3 linked regions of the Macaca mulatta genome follow. The protein of the gene in region 1 purifies or fractionates together with the protein of each later gene. This does not show direct contact. Links are inferred from orthologs where the notes say so. Each region holds a gene or a part of one and is shown in the gene's direction. Other genes may lie near its edges.

Region 1 (3,648 bases):
GTAGTACTAATGGTATGGGAGCTGACCTTAGGTGGTAAAGAGCAAACAACTACTGTTTATTTTTCATTATATTTATTTTTAGGGTTTTTTTTCTTTTAATTAGAAGGTGACATTGATTTTTCTTAAAAAATATGGTAATGATATATAGTAATTTTCTTAAAAAATGTCATTTTAAAGGCAAATTTAGCAAATCTTGATGGTCATTCTCATGAACTGAAATTTGAGACATATAGCCCAAAATAAAAATTTGTTATCTGTTTCCTATTTATTTAGCAACGGGTAATGACTTGCTTCAGAGCATGGGAAGATTGGGCAATTTATCCAGAACCATTTTTGATCAAACTACAAAATATTTTCTTAGGACTTGTAAATATTATTGAAGAAAAGGAAACAGAGGTAGGCACTCTGTATTTGTCTGGTTGTTTTTAAAATTCGTTTCTGGGGTGGAGGTTTCTTGGAGTTATGCTGCATTACATATGCGAGGTATATTTCTTTGTGAAAAATATCTGTTGCTTACCACTAAATAGTGGATTTTTATTGCTGGAACCCAGGAGTCAAAATTACATATAACAGGAATTCTCTGTCTTGTGTCCTTATGTGAAAATTGATGAGTGGTTTTTTATTTAATGACCTAAGACTTATGATATTAATAGTAGAAAAAAAGCAAGTAATAGAGCAGTATTTATGTAGCATGACTTTATTTTGTTAAAGATAGCTATATAAGTAAAATATGTGCATGAAAAGATGCATCACATGATAGCAGATATACACCACCGTTCTGTTGTTTTTCTTTACCTCCTAAATAATTACTGAACCCTTAATGTTTAATTCTGCCTTACTAGTCAAGCTACTATATTTTCACTTTCACCCCTGCAGGATCTTCCTAATTGACCTTGCTGTTGTAACCCACATGGTCCTTGTTTCAGTTTCCTAAATGTGTGTTTTCACCTACCATTGGCCTGTATACATGTCCTTCCCTCTTTCTGGGACTTATCTTTACCTGAGATCCTTCAGATCTCAGCTCAGATATAACCTTAGAGAGCCTTCTCTGACCTCTTTAAGTGAAACTTATTATGCTAATAGTATGATACGCCTTTTTGCTGTAGCAGTTACCATAGTTACAGATAAGTATATATTGTTGTGATGATCTGATTTCCTGGTTTCCCCACCCCCCAAAACAACAACAAAAACCTTTACCAGGCTCTGTAACAGGGGGACCAAATTTGTTTTTGCTCATCATTTCCTTACATGGTACCTGGCACCAGTGAACACTTGGTAAATGTTAGATAAATGCACAACTGACTGCTTCTTTAGCAAACTGGATGATAGAATATATATTCTTACTATGTTCTTACAATGTACCTTGGATTGTGGGTATCCTGGTATGTTGGCTTGTACTGGATTACAAATTAATCTTACAAGCAGTGTGACTTCAGCAAGCAAAGGAAAATGTTACAATAGTACACATTTCCATAGGATGTTCCAGATGACCTTGATGGTGCCCCCATTGAGGAAGAGCTTGATGGTGCACCTCTGGAAGATGTAGATGGAATTCCTATTGATGCTACTCCCATTGATGATCTTGATGGAGTCCCTATAAAAAGTCTTGATGATGATCTTGATGGAGTGCCTTGTAAGTTCAAATTTCAAACTGATTAAATCTAGCTAATAAGTTTGGTGACCAAAACTCTAATTTCCATACATGCTGATATGGAAGAAGGTTATAGTTTCTCATGAAGGTATCAAGTTAACTATTTCTGATTTTTTCAAAATTCAAATACCCAGTAATACATTTATTTGTATGCTATGTATATAAAAGGCCAAGAAGCAGCATTTTTTCTGGTCACATTTCTTTGCTGGGACAGTCAGCCTTCTATAACATTAGCAAGTTTCTCTTTTTGTCTTAATTGTCAGGAAATTATAGGCAAAATCTTGTGTTCAATTATGCATATTCCTGGGTACCTGGTTTTATCAGTTCTGTATTATTATTAGTTTTTCTAACCTACAACTTCAGTTTTCCTAGCTGCCTAGAACCATTTTGAAAATAGGAACTGTACACAGCTCTTTGGTACATTTGAATTATATGTTTAAATATTGAATAATGTATGCAGTTTTGTAGAGATTTGTTAAAGATTTGTTTTACTTCTCAACTTCTTCACTTGCTTAATATATTACTAACCTGTATTTTCTGAATTGATATAATATATACTGTTAAAAATTTTGCCCTCAGATGCAGAGAATTGGTTTAGTCATAGTCCTTGTTCTCAGGATTACGGTTGGTCCATCCGTGTCCTTATTTTACTTTGCTTTTTAATAATATGGTGAACACCCATGAACGTAATACTTTGCATCATCCCCTAGTCGTCAGGGTTAATGGCTTATCTTCCCTAATAGTGGATGCAACTGAAGACTCAAAGAAGAATGAGCCTATATTTAAAGTTGCCCCATCAAAATGGGAAGCTGTGGATGAATCTGAATTGGAAGCACAGGGTGAGTAAAAGTAAAATGAGTATTTTTTACATTAAGTACTTAATAAGTTATTTATTGGTGTGCTTGTATATTGTATATATGTTTTCCTTTTATGTTTTGTAACACATTTTAACCTTAATACTCAATGTTACCGTATTTTGTGTCTAATGTACACTTTTATTGTGGTTGGTGTTGCTGTTACAATTTTCTTAGGTCCTTCAGTTTGGAGGCTTTGAGAGTAATGAGATATCACTGAAAACCTTTCAAGTTAAGGCATTTTAGTAGTAAATGTAGATAGGAAGCTGTACCTACGTAGAAATCTACATAGAGGTCAGTTTCAGAGAAACTTTTTGATTTGACCCTCCCATAATCCTAGACTGATTAGATGCCATTTAGACCTGTCTCACACTTACTTAGACCTGTATCCTAGTGCTGATAATCCATAATTGTTACTATTTGTAGGTTCTAATGAAATCTTAATATTCAACACAGAAACAGGGATGACATTATTCATCACTTCATGAATTTGAATTATACTGTAGGTGTGAGGAAAGAGAATTGGCATATAAATAGCTATTTAGAGAATTGATAAACATAGATAAAGGAAACTTCTGTAATATAAACTTTTCAGTTCTAAAGCTTGAGCTTCCACTGTGCTGCTGCAAAAATGCTAGTTTACCTCATGGAATTACATCCTCTTTTTCCTTCTATTCAGCTGTTACAACTTCTAAATGGGAATTATTTGACCAGCATGAAGAATCAGAAGAAGAAGAAAATCAAAAGTAAGAATCTAAGTTCCAAATATACTGTTTCTTGTTCATATACATTCCCTTTTTCATTAAGAGATATAGTTGAAATAATAGTGAAGTGGAAAACTTCACTTTTGCTTTCTGGTCTTGATGGATCTGGTTTCATTTTGCTTGTGAGTTTTTTACGCTGGGTTACATTCTCACTTTGTAGTTACTAATTGGTCAACTGCATTTGTTTCAAATCTTTGCCATCAAATATTGTTTTGGGCTCCACAAAAAGTGGTTTTTAAAATGTGAGTAGGAAAGGTTATACTCCTTTCTTTTGGATTGTACATTGCTAAGAAAAATACTGCATTATGGCCATTGTGTTAATTTAAATATAAACCTTTCAGAAGAACTAAGAATGAATACAAAGGAAAAAAAATCTTTT
Region 2 (3,648 bases), on another chromosome or scaffold:
GGAGGCTGCCTGTTGGGGACTCAGCAGAGCCCTCCTGCGCCACAAGCAGATGTGACCGATCTCCCGGATGTTACCCAGTCAGGACACAAAGATCAGTGTCCTCACCTCCCAATAAGTTTACAGCGAACCCAAGAGATAGAATTAGGCTGGGGATAAGTAAGCGCAGCCAACCAGAGAGGGAGTTCAGAGGAAGGCTTGAACACTGGGGGCTTAGGCAGTCCGGGAAGGCTCCCTGGTGGTGGTGACTCGTTTGTGAGAATTTGGCCTTGTCTTCCCTTTATGCCTTCTCTGGGCTCCCCGCTCCATTTCAGGTCTCCAGGCCTTGGCACTCTGGGCTGGAGTGGCTTCCTCTCCATCCCTCACATACGCTCATTTGGAGACAGGCTCCAGCTTCCCTCGTGTCTGTGCCTGTCCACAGTGGGCCTCGGCCTCCTGGAAGAGACTGGGTGCACTTTGGGGTGGCCCCCTCAGGGCTGGTTAGACCCTGGCTCTGGGAGTGCAGGGTGAGGGGCTGTCACAGGCTCCAGCCTGGTGGCCTGGCCCAGGGAGGTCCCAGCAGCAGCCGTGAGTTCTGAGCCATCCTTCTTTCTCTCCTCTTGGCCTCCACAGGTGTCTCCCGGTCTGCTAAAGCCCCAAGGCCGTCACCATGGACTTCCAGCATCGCCCTGGGGGCAAGACCGGGAGCGGGGGCGTGGCCTCCTCCTCCGAGAGCAACCGTGACCGCAGGGAGCGCCTCCGGCAGCTGGCCCTAGAGACCATCGACATCAACAAGGTGGGCCAGCCACCGTGCAGCCGCCTGTGGCGGGGGCTCGGCTTTCCAGGACAGCCCTGGAGAGGGTGCCAGAGGCTCTTCCTGGGCCTCCACCCAGCCTGGGCGGTGCAGCCCCGTGTCCAGATGCTCCCCTGTTGCCCCGAGTAGCTACAGCTCCCATCTGTCCGCCTTAGAGAGCAGACCCTCTGTGGCTCTGAGCCCCGTGTGAGAGTGTTTTGTTCTGTCCAAAACCTTCTGTTTCGCATCATTTAATTTTCTGGGAGTGGGGAGAGCTTATGTCAGTCCAGCCAGATGTGGTGAAGGGCAGCCTTTGATTTTAGCTTGTGCAGGGGCGGGGATGAGCCGGGTCCCCTCAGCACTGTGGACATCGGGACTGGAGCACTCTCTGTGTACCCTGACACGCCCCACGGACCTGGCCTATGACGAGGGCTCTGTCACTGTCCCTGTCTTCCAGATGACGTCACGGGTGGAGGGGTGCCCCAGCCACAGATGGTGGAGTTAGCCTTTGAACTCCAGCGTCTGAGACGAGAGGCGTGCGCCTGGCTGCCCCGGCTTAGGGCCTGGAGATGGACGGGTCTCTGGGCCTTCAGTGTAGCCCATTTGCTTTTCTTGTGCCTGTGTCTGCCTTGTGCCGACCACTGGTGTGGTGGCGTGGGCAGCGGACAGCTCCCTGCATTGGGAGTGACCAGGAGTGCTGTGCTGACTCTGCCTCCCTCTGACTCAGAACCACCAGGAAGGTGGTGCGGGGGGCTCCCTGGGAACCCCCGCTGCTCAGAGCCTGGGCCACAGCCCCAGGCGGTGACACCTGTGCTCACAAAGGCCTCCCGCCGGATCCCCCGTTTTCAGAAACGCTTGACACCGTCAGGGACAGCCATGCCTGTACAGAAAGGGGATCCTGCGTCTGAGGGCCCTGACCGCAGCAGGCCTCGATCTGTCTAACGGGCGCCTGTTCTTCCCCTCCAGGACCCGTACTTCATGAAGAACCACCTGGGCTCCTATGAATGCAAGCTGTGCCTGACGCTTCACAACAATGAGGTGCGGCCTCTGCCCGGCTCCGGGCAGCTCGCGGCGGGCTGAGTGGCTGACGTCAGGGGGACCTGCCTGTGTCTGTCTGCCCGGCCCGAGTCATGTGTGTTTCCTTTCCACTCCAGGGGAGCTACCTGGCACATACCCAGGGGAAGAAGCACCAGACCAACCTGTGAGTACCCCGTGCCCCTTCGATTCCTGGTGCTCCAGCAGCTGTCGGCTCAAGTCTCTGTGAGCCTCACGGGCCACTGCTCCACGGCCGGGAAGCCAGCCTGGTCTGGGCCTCCCTGGGCGCTGGAGTACGGTTTCTGGGGAGCATTAGAGAACAGAGGCGTGGATGGCTGAGGCGGGCAGATCACTTGAGGTCAAGAGTTCGAGACCAGCCTGACCAACATTGTGAAACTCCATCTTGTGCCGGGCGCGGTGGCTCAAGCCTGTAATCCCAGCACTTTGGGAGGCCGAGACGGGCGGATCACGAGGTCAGGAGATCGAGACCATCCTGGCTAACACGGTGAAACCCCGTCTCTACTAAAAAATACAAAAAACTAGCCGGGCGTGGTGGCGGGCGCCTGTAGTCCCAGCTACTCGGGAGGCTGAGGCAGGAGAATGGCGTGAACCCGGGAGGCGGAGCTTGCAGTGAGCCAAGATCACGCCACTGCACTCCAGCCTGGGTGACAGAGCGAGACTCCATCTCAAAAAAAAAAAAAGAAAAAAAGAAACTCCATCTTTACTAAAAATCTAAAAATTAGGCTGGGCATGGTGATGCACACCTGTAATCACAGCTACTATGGAGGCTGAGGCAGGAGAATCTTGAATCTGGGAGGAAGAGGTTGCAATGAACCGAGATGGCGCCACTGCACTCCAGCCTGGGCGACAGAGCGAGACTCAGTCTTATTTAAAAAAAAAAAAAAGAAGAAAGGCCGAGCGCAGTGGCTCACGCCTATAATCCCAGCACTTTGGGAGACCAAGGCGGGCAGATCACCTGAGGTCAGGAGGGCAAGACCAGCCTGACCAACATGGAGAAACCCCATCTCTACTAAAAATACAAAAAATTAGTCGGGCTTGGTGGTGCATGCCTGTAATCTCAGCTACTGGGGAGGCTGAGGCAGGAGAATCGCTTGAACCTGGGAGATGGAGGTTGCGGTGAGCCAAGATCGCGCCACTGCACTCCAGCCTGGGCCACAAGAGCAAAACTCGGTCTCAAAAAAAAAAAAAAAAAGCAGAGGCATGGAGTTGTTGGTAGGACCCCAGCCAGGGACAGTGAGGAGCATGACAGGAAGAGAACGTGCCTGTCCTATCCCTGTTCTCAGCCAAACCCCAGGGCCCCTCCCAGGCCCCTGGCCCTCCTCATCCCTCAGTTTATAGTGAGCTCCAAGGTCAGGGGGCCCGTGGCCTTGGTGCCTGTGTGTGGAGGGGCCCCAGCACCACGTCCATCCTGCCTGCAGGGCCCGGCGAGCCGCCAAGGAGGCCAAGGAGGCCCCTGCCCAGCCTGCACCTGAGAAGGTCAAGGTGGAGGTGAAGAAGTTTGTGAAGATCGGCCGCCCAGGCTACAAAGGTGAGTGCCCGGAGCGGCGCTGGCCACAGCCGCTGCTGCTGCATGAATAGGTTCTTTGGGCTCCAGTGCAGGAGGCGCAGCCCTGAGACCCTCATTCCTGAGCCGCTGTTTTCTGGCCTTGGTGGCCATCCCTCACCCACCTGCAGCCTCTGGCGTTGTGTCTGGGAGCTGTCAGGCTGAGCCCGATAAGCACCCGTCTCACCCAGCGGCCCCTTTCCCAGCTGAGCCACAGTCTGTGCCCTCCTGTCCGAGTGTTGTGGAAGCTTCTGGGGAGTCTTGCCAAGCCAAAGAGTGG
Region 3 (3,648 bases), on another chromosome or scaffold:
GTAGGGCCCTGACCGGGCTGCTCCCAGAGCGAGAGGGTGCAGGGGCTGGGATTCTCCGTCAGTCATTCCCCTGCGTGTGTGCGTGGAGGGGGTCGAGGACACAGGTGGAGGGTTGCACACCCTTGGGAGGTCTGGTCTCTGTGCTTTTGAGGCCTCCCTCTGGACGCCATTAGGAAGTGAGGCTTCTTAGGAGTAGCAGTTACAGGGTGGGGGTCCCGAGGTGGAAAGAGGATTCTGGAAGGTGCTAGGGCCGAGAGCCTGTAGGAGCTTTTTGCCGAGGAGGGGAACTCCCAGCGTGTGGTGGGGGGAGGTCACTGAACACTCCCCTGATGGGGTTTTATCCTGCTTTTACCCCCTTTGAAGCTGCGGGTCAGATTCCAGCCACTGCTCTTCTCCCCACCATGACCCCTGACGGTCTGGCTGTGACCCCAACGCCGGTGCCCGTGGTTGGGAGCCAGATGACTAGACAAGCCCGGCGCCTCTACGTGGGCAACATCCCCTTTGGCATCACTGAGGTACTGCCCTCCCCCTGCCCTCCCCTCTCCCTTGTCCCCTACCCCATTCCTCCCCTTCCCTCCATTCCCTTTCCCCAACCTGCACGGGTCAGACTCTGCTCCTGCAAGCCCCCCCGGCCCCCTCCCAGACGGACCGATGGAGTTGAGCCAGCCAGGGGCCGGGCTGGGGGTGGCCCTCCCTCCCTCCTCTTCCCTCTCCCGTCTCCCCTCCCCCCAACCTCCTCCAGCAACCCAGGGATCAAGCACACACATAATGTACCCACGTGTTGTACCTACGTGTCGGAGAGAGACAGAGAGGGAGACTTGGACACACACACACACACACACAGACGCACGCTGCCCCTCAGTTTTTTTCTGACACGCCTCTCCTTCTCTGCCGCCTGTCCCCCATCCTCTCCCCCACGTCCCTCCCATGGTCGCTGTTCTTTTATTTTTGATCGCCCCTGACCTCCCCCTTCCCCACCACTCCTTTTCCCTCTCCCCTCTCCCCAACCCCTTCCTGTGGCACCCCCTGAGAATCCCGAGATCAAAGAGTTGTTTCCATTTCTCTTTAAAGTGAAATATTGTGGGGCTGAGATCCCTCGTAGCAACAAAAAGTTTGCTACCATCGTCGAAGGCAAGTAAGGTCCATTCTGACTTTCTCAACCTGCACTTTGCTACATTTGATAAACCAGCCCCCGGACTCCAGGGCCAGATTCCTCCACATCACTCTTTTCTCCTCCCCTCCCGTCCCTGCCCCTCCTCCCTACACTCCTCCTCTCCCACCCCTGCACTCTTGACCTCGTCCTCCTCGCTCATCTCTGTCCTGCTTTCCTTTTCTGTCCTTTGCTCGTCTCTGCCCCTGCCTGCCGCTTCCTTTCTACTTTCCTGCCACTTTTCTCTCTGTCTCCACCGGGTGTCCGTTCCCTGTGTGCCCTGTCTCTTCATCTCCTCTGTTTCATGTTTTTCTTCATTTTGTGTTGTCACCATTCTCTCTGCTTTTTCTTGAACAATCTTCTCCTTTCCCCTGATTTTTTGGGACCCCTATGGCTGTCCCCCAACGCCTGTCCATCGCCTGCCCTTGGCCGTCTTCTTGCTACTGCTTCCTCCCCATTTTCTCTCTTGCTTCTGTTCCTACTATTGACTTCTACACCCCCACCCATATTCCACTGTTCCTTCCCCCCCTCCTCCCTCCCCTCATCCCTCTCCCCTTACCCCCAAACCCCTCTGTGTCTCCCTCTCTCACCCTTCCCCTCCTCTCTCCACCTCCCTTCCCCCGCCCCCCCCTTGTCTCCTATTCCCTCTGCAGGAGGCCATGATGGATTTCTTCAATGCCCAGATGCGCCTGGGGGGGCTGACCCAGGCCCCTGGCAACCCGGTGTTGGCTGTGCAGATTAACCAGGACAAGAATTTTGCCTTTTTGGAGGTGAGCTGGGGGAGTGCGTGGGGTCAAGGAAACGTGTGTGATGTGAGGGCCCATCCCCCAGGCGGCAGGTGTGTGGAGCTGCCCTGCGCTGTTTCCACTGGGCCCTCTGCAGCCCATTCTCCACCTGGTCGCTGAAGTGAGCCCTGTAATAGCTCTGCAGATCTGATCCTACTTTCTGCCTTACCTTTGCTTTCTGTGTGACCCGAGAGGCCTGTTTGGCCTCTGCCGACCTTTTTGGCCTTTTCCAGACCATTCTGGCGCAGTCCTCTGCACTCTGGCCATGCTGACCTTCCCAGTAGTACCATGCTCCTGCATGCTTGGCTAGAGTTCTTCACCCCAGCTGACTGATGTTCCTAACTAGTCTTCTGTCACCCCAGCTGACTGATGTTCCTAACTAGTCTTCCGTTACCCCAGCTGACTGATGTTCCTAACTAGTCTTCCGTTACCCCAGCTGACTGATGTTCCTAACTAGTCTTCCGTTACCCCAGCTGACTGATGTTCCTAACTAGTCTTCTGTTACCCCAGCTGACTGATGTTCCTAACTAGTCTTCTGTGTCAGTGTTTCTCAACCGTTGGGAAAGGGCCTTGGTTTTTGATTTTCGACTCTTGGACTGATACCTGGTGAAGTACTGTGAAGGCATTGGCAGTGTTGGCTTGCTCTAGAGGTTTCTGAGCACTCCCTCTCACTTTGTACTTGCCTCACTGCAGTCCACTTTCCGTTGCGCTGCTCCGGATGTGGGCTGAAATGTCCCCTCACCAGAAATACTCCAGTATTGTCATCTCCCCATTCAACTAGGCTTCCCCGTGACATCCTTTTTCAGCATTTTGTCCCTCTTCTGCATCGTCACAGCCTGCAGTTGTGTGTGTGCCTCTGTGTTGGTGTTGGGTGCCTGGTGTCTCTCACGGTCGAGTGTGAGCTCCTGGCAGCAGGGACATGCGTGTCTGTTGTCCTCCCAATGCCCAGCCTGGGGCCTGGCATGTCATATTTGTTCACATGAGTGAAAGGAAAGAGGAAATCCCAATCCTGGAACACTAGGGCCTGTATCAGTCACTGGCCGCCACCCTCACCACACCTTTCTCTTTCATTCAGTTCCGCTCAGTGGACGAGACTACCCAGGCCATGGCCTTTGACGGCATCATCTTCCAGGGCCAGTCACTAAAGATCCGCAGGCCTCATGACTACCAGCCGCTTCCTGGCATGTCAGAGAACCCCTCCGTCTATGTGCCTGGTGAGTGGGGGATCCATTAAGGGTCCTCTTCCTCCCCAGTCCTGTTCCCATGGCCCGTCCTTCCCTTCAGCCCAGCTGGAGTGGCTTAGGAAGTCATGTAAGTACTGTGGACCATAGGTGCCTTTTCCCTGCTTCCCCTCAGTCTGTGTGAGTGGGGTGCTCTCCTGCTGTTAGAGAAAGTGCTTAGGGCCGGGAGAGGGAGCTGTGACCTGCTTGGGGACACACAGCTTGTACGTGGCAGAGCCAGGATCAGACCAAAGGTGCTGGGGGAAGTGAGGGGCTTGTGGTCGGGACCTGGTGCCTGCTCTGGGACCTTGGAGGGCTCGGTCTGTGCCCGTCGGGGCTGGCGTGCGTCGACAGTTGGCAGCAAAGTTCCTGCTGTGGGGTCTGGCACCTGGGTGTTCACTCGTTTTTTGTTTCCCATGTTTGCCTTGAATCTTGTGTTCTGGGCCATTCCCCATAGCTGTGTTTAATATCGTCTCTAATTGGTAGGTAACAG

The links.
Region 2: the proteins of U2SURP (region 1) and SF3A2 purify together in Homo sapiens (affinity purification with mass spectrometry; 3 studies listed by BioGRID, with this or other methods). This does not show direct contact. The link is inferred for Macaca mulatta from reciprocal best matches to the Homo sapiens genes U2SURP and SF3A2.
Region 3: the proteins of U2SURP (region 1) and U2AF2 purify together in Homo sapiens (affinity purification with mass spectrometry; 3 studies listed by BioGRID and IntAct, counting the BioPlex papers as one, with this or other methods). This does not show direct contact. The link is inferred for Macaca mulatta from reciprocal best matches to the Homo sapiens genes U2SURP and U2AF2.

Annotation. Positions count from the first base shown.
Region 1 is NC_133407.1:46,012,776-46,016,423, forward strand, and holds part of U2SURP (U2 snRNP-associated SURP motif-containing protein), read left to right. Parts: intron 1-273; coding exon 274-396; intron 397-1,476; coding exon 1,477-1,633; intron 1,634-2,394; coding exon 2,395-2,490; intron 2,491-3,184; coding exon 3,185-3,251; intron 3,252-3,648.
Region 2 is NC_133424.1:2,990,506-2,994,153, forward strand, and holds part of SF3A2 (splicing factor 3A subunit 2), read left to right. Parts: intron 1-609; 5' UTR 610-646; coding exon 647-772; intron 773-1,735; coding exon 1,736-1,807; intron 1,808-1,923; coding exon 1,924-1,970; coding exon of another isoform or gene 1,971-1,999; intron 2,000-3,220; coding exon of another isoform or gene 3,221-3,243; coding exon 3,244-3,353; intron 3,354-3,648. UniProt on the Homo sapiens protein: Component of the 17S U2 SnRNP complex of the spliceosome, a large ribonucleoprotein complex that removes introns from transcribed pre-mRNAs.
Region 3 is NC_133424.1:68,010,911-68,014,558, forward strand, and holds part of U2AF2 (splicing factor U2AF 65 kDa subunit), read left to right. Parts: intron 1-363; coding exon 364-515; intron 516-1,803; coding exon 1,804-1,920; intron 1,921-3,010; coding exon 3,011-3,149; intron 3,150-3,648. UniProt on the Homo sapiens protein: Plays a role in pre-mRNA splicing and 3'-end processing. By recruiting PRPF19 and the PRP19C/Prp19 complex/NTC/Nineteen complex to the RNA polymerase II C-terminal domain (CTD), and thereby pre-mRNA, may couple transcription to splicing.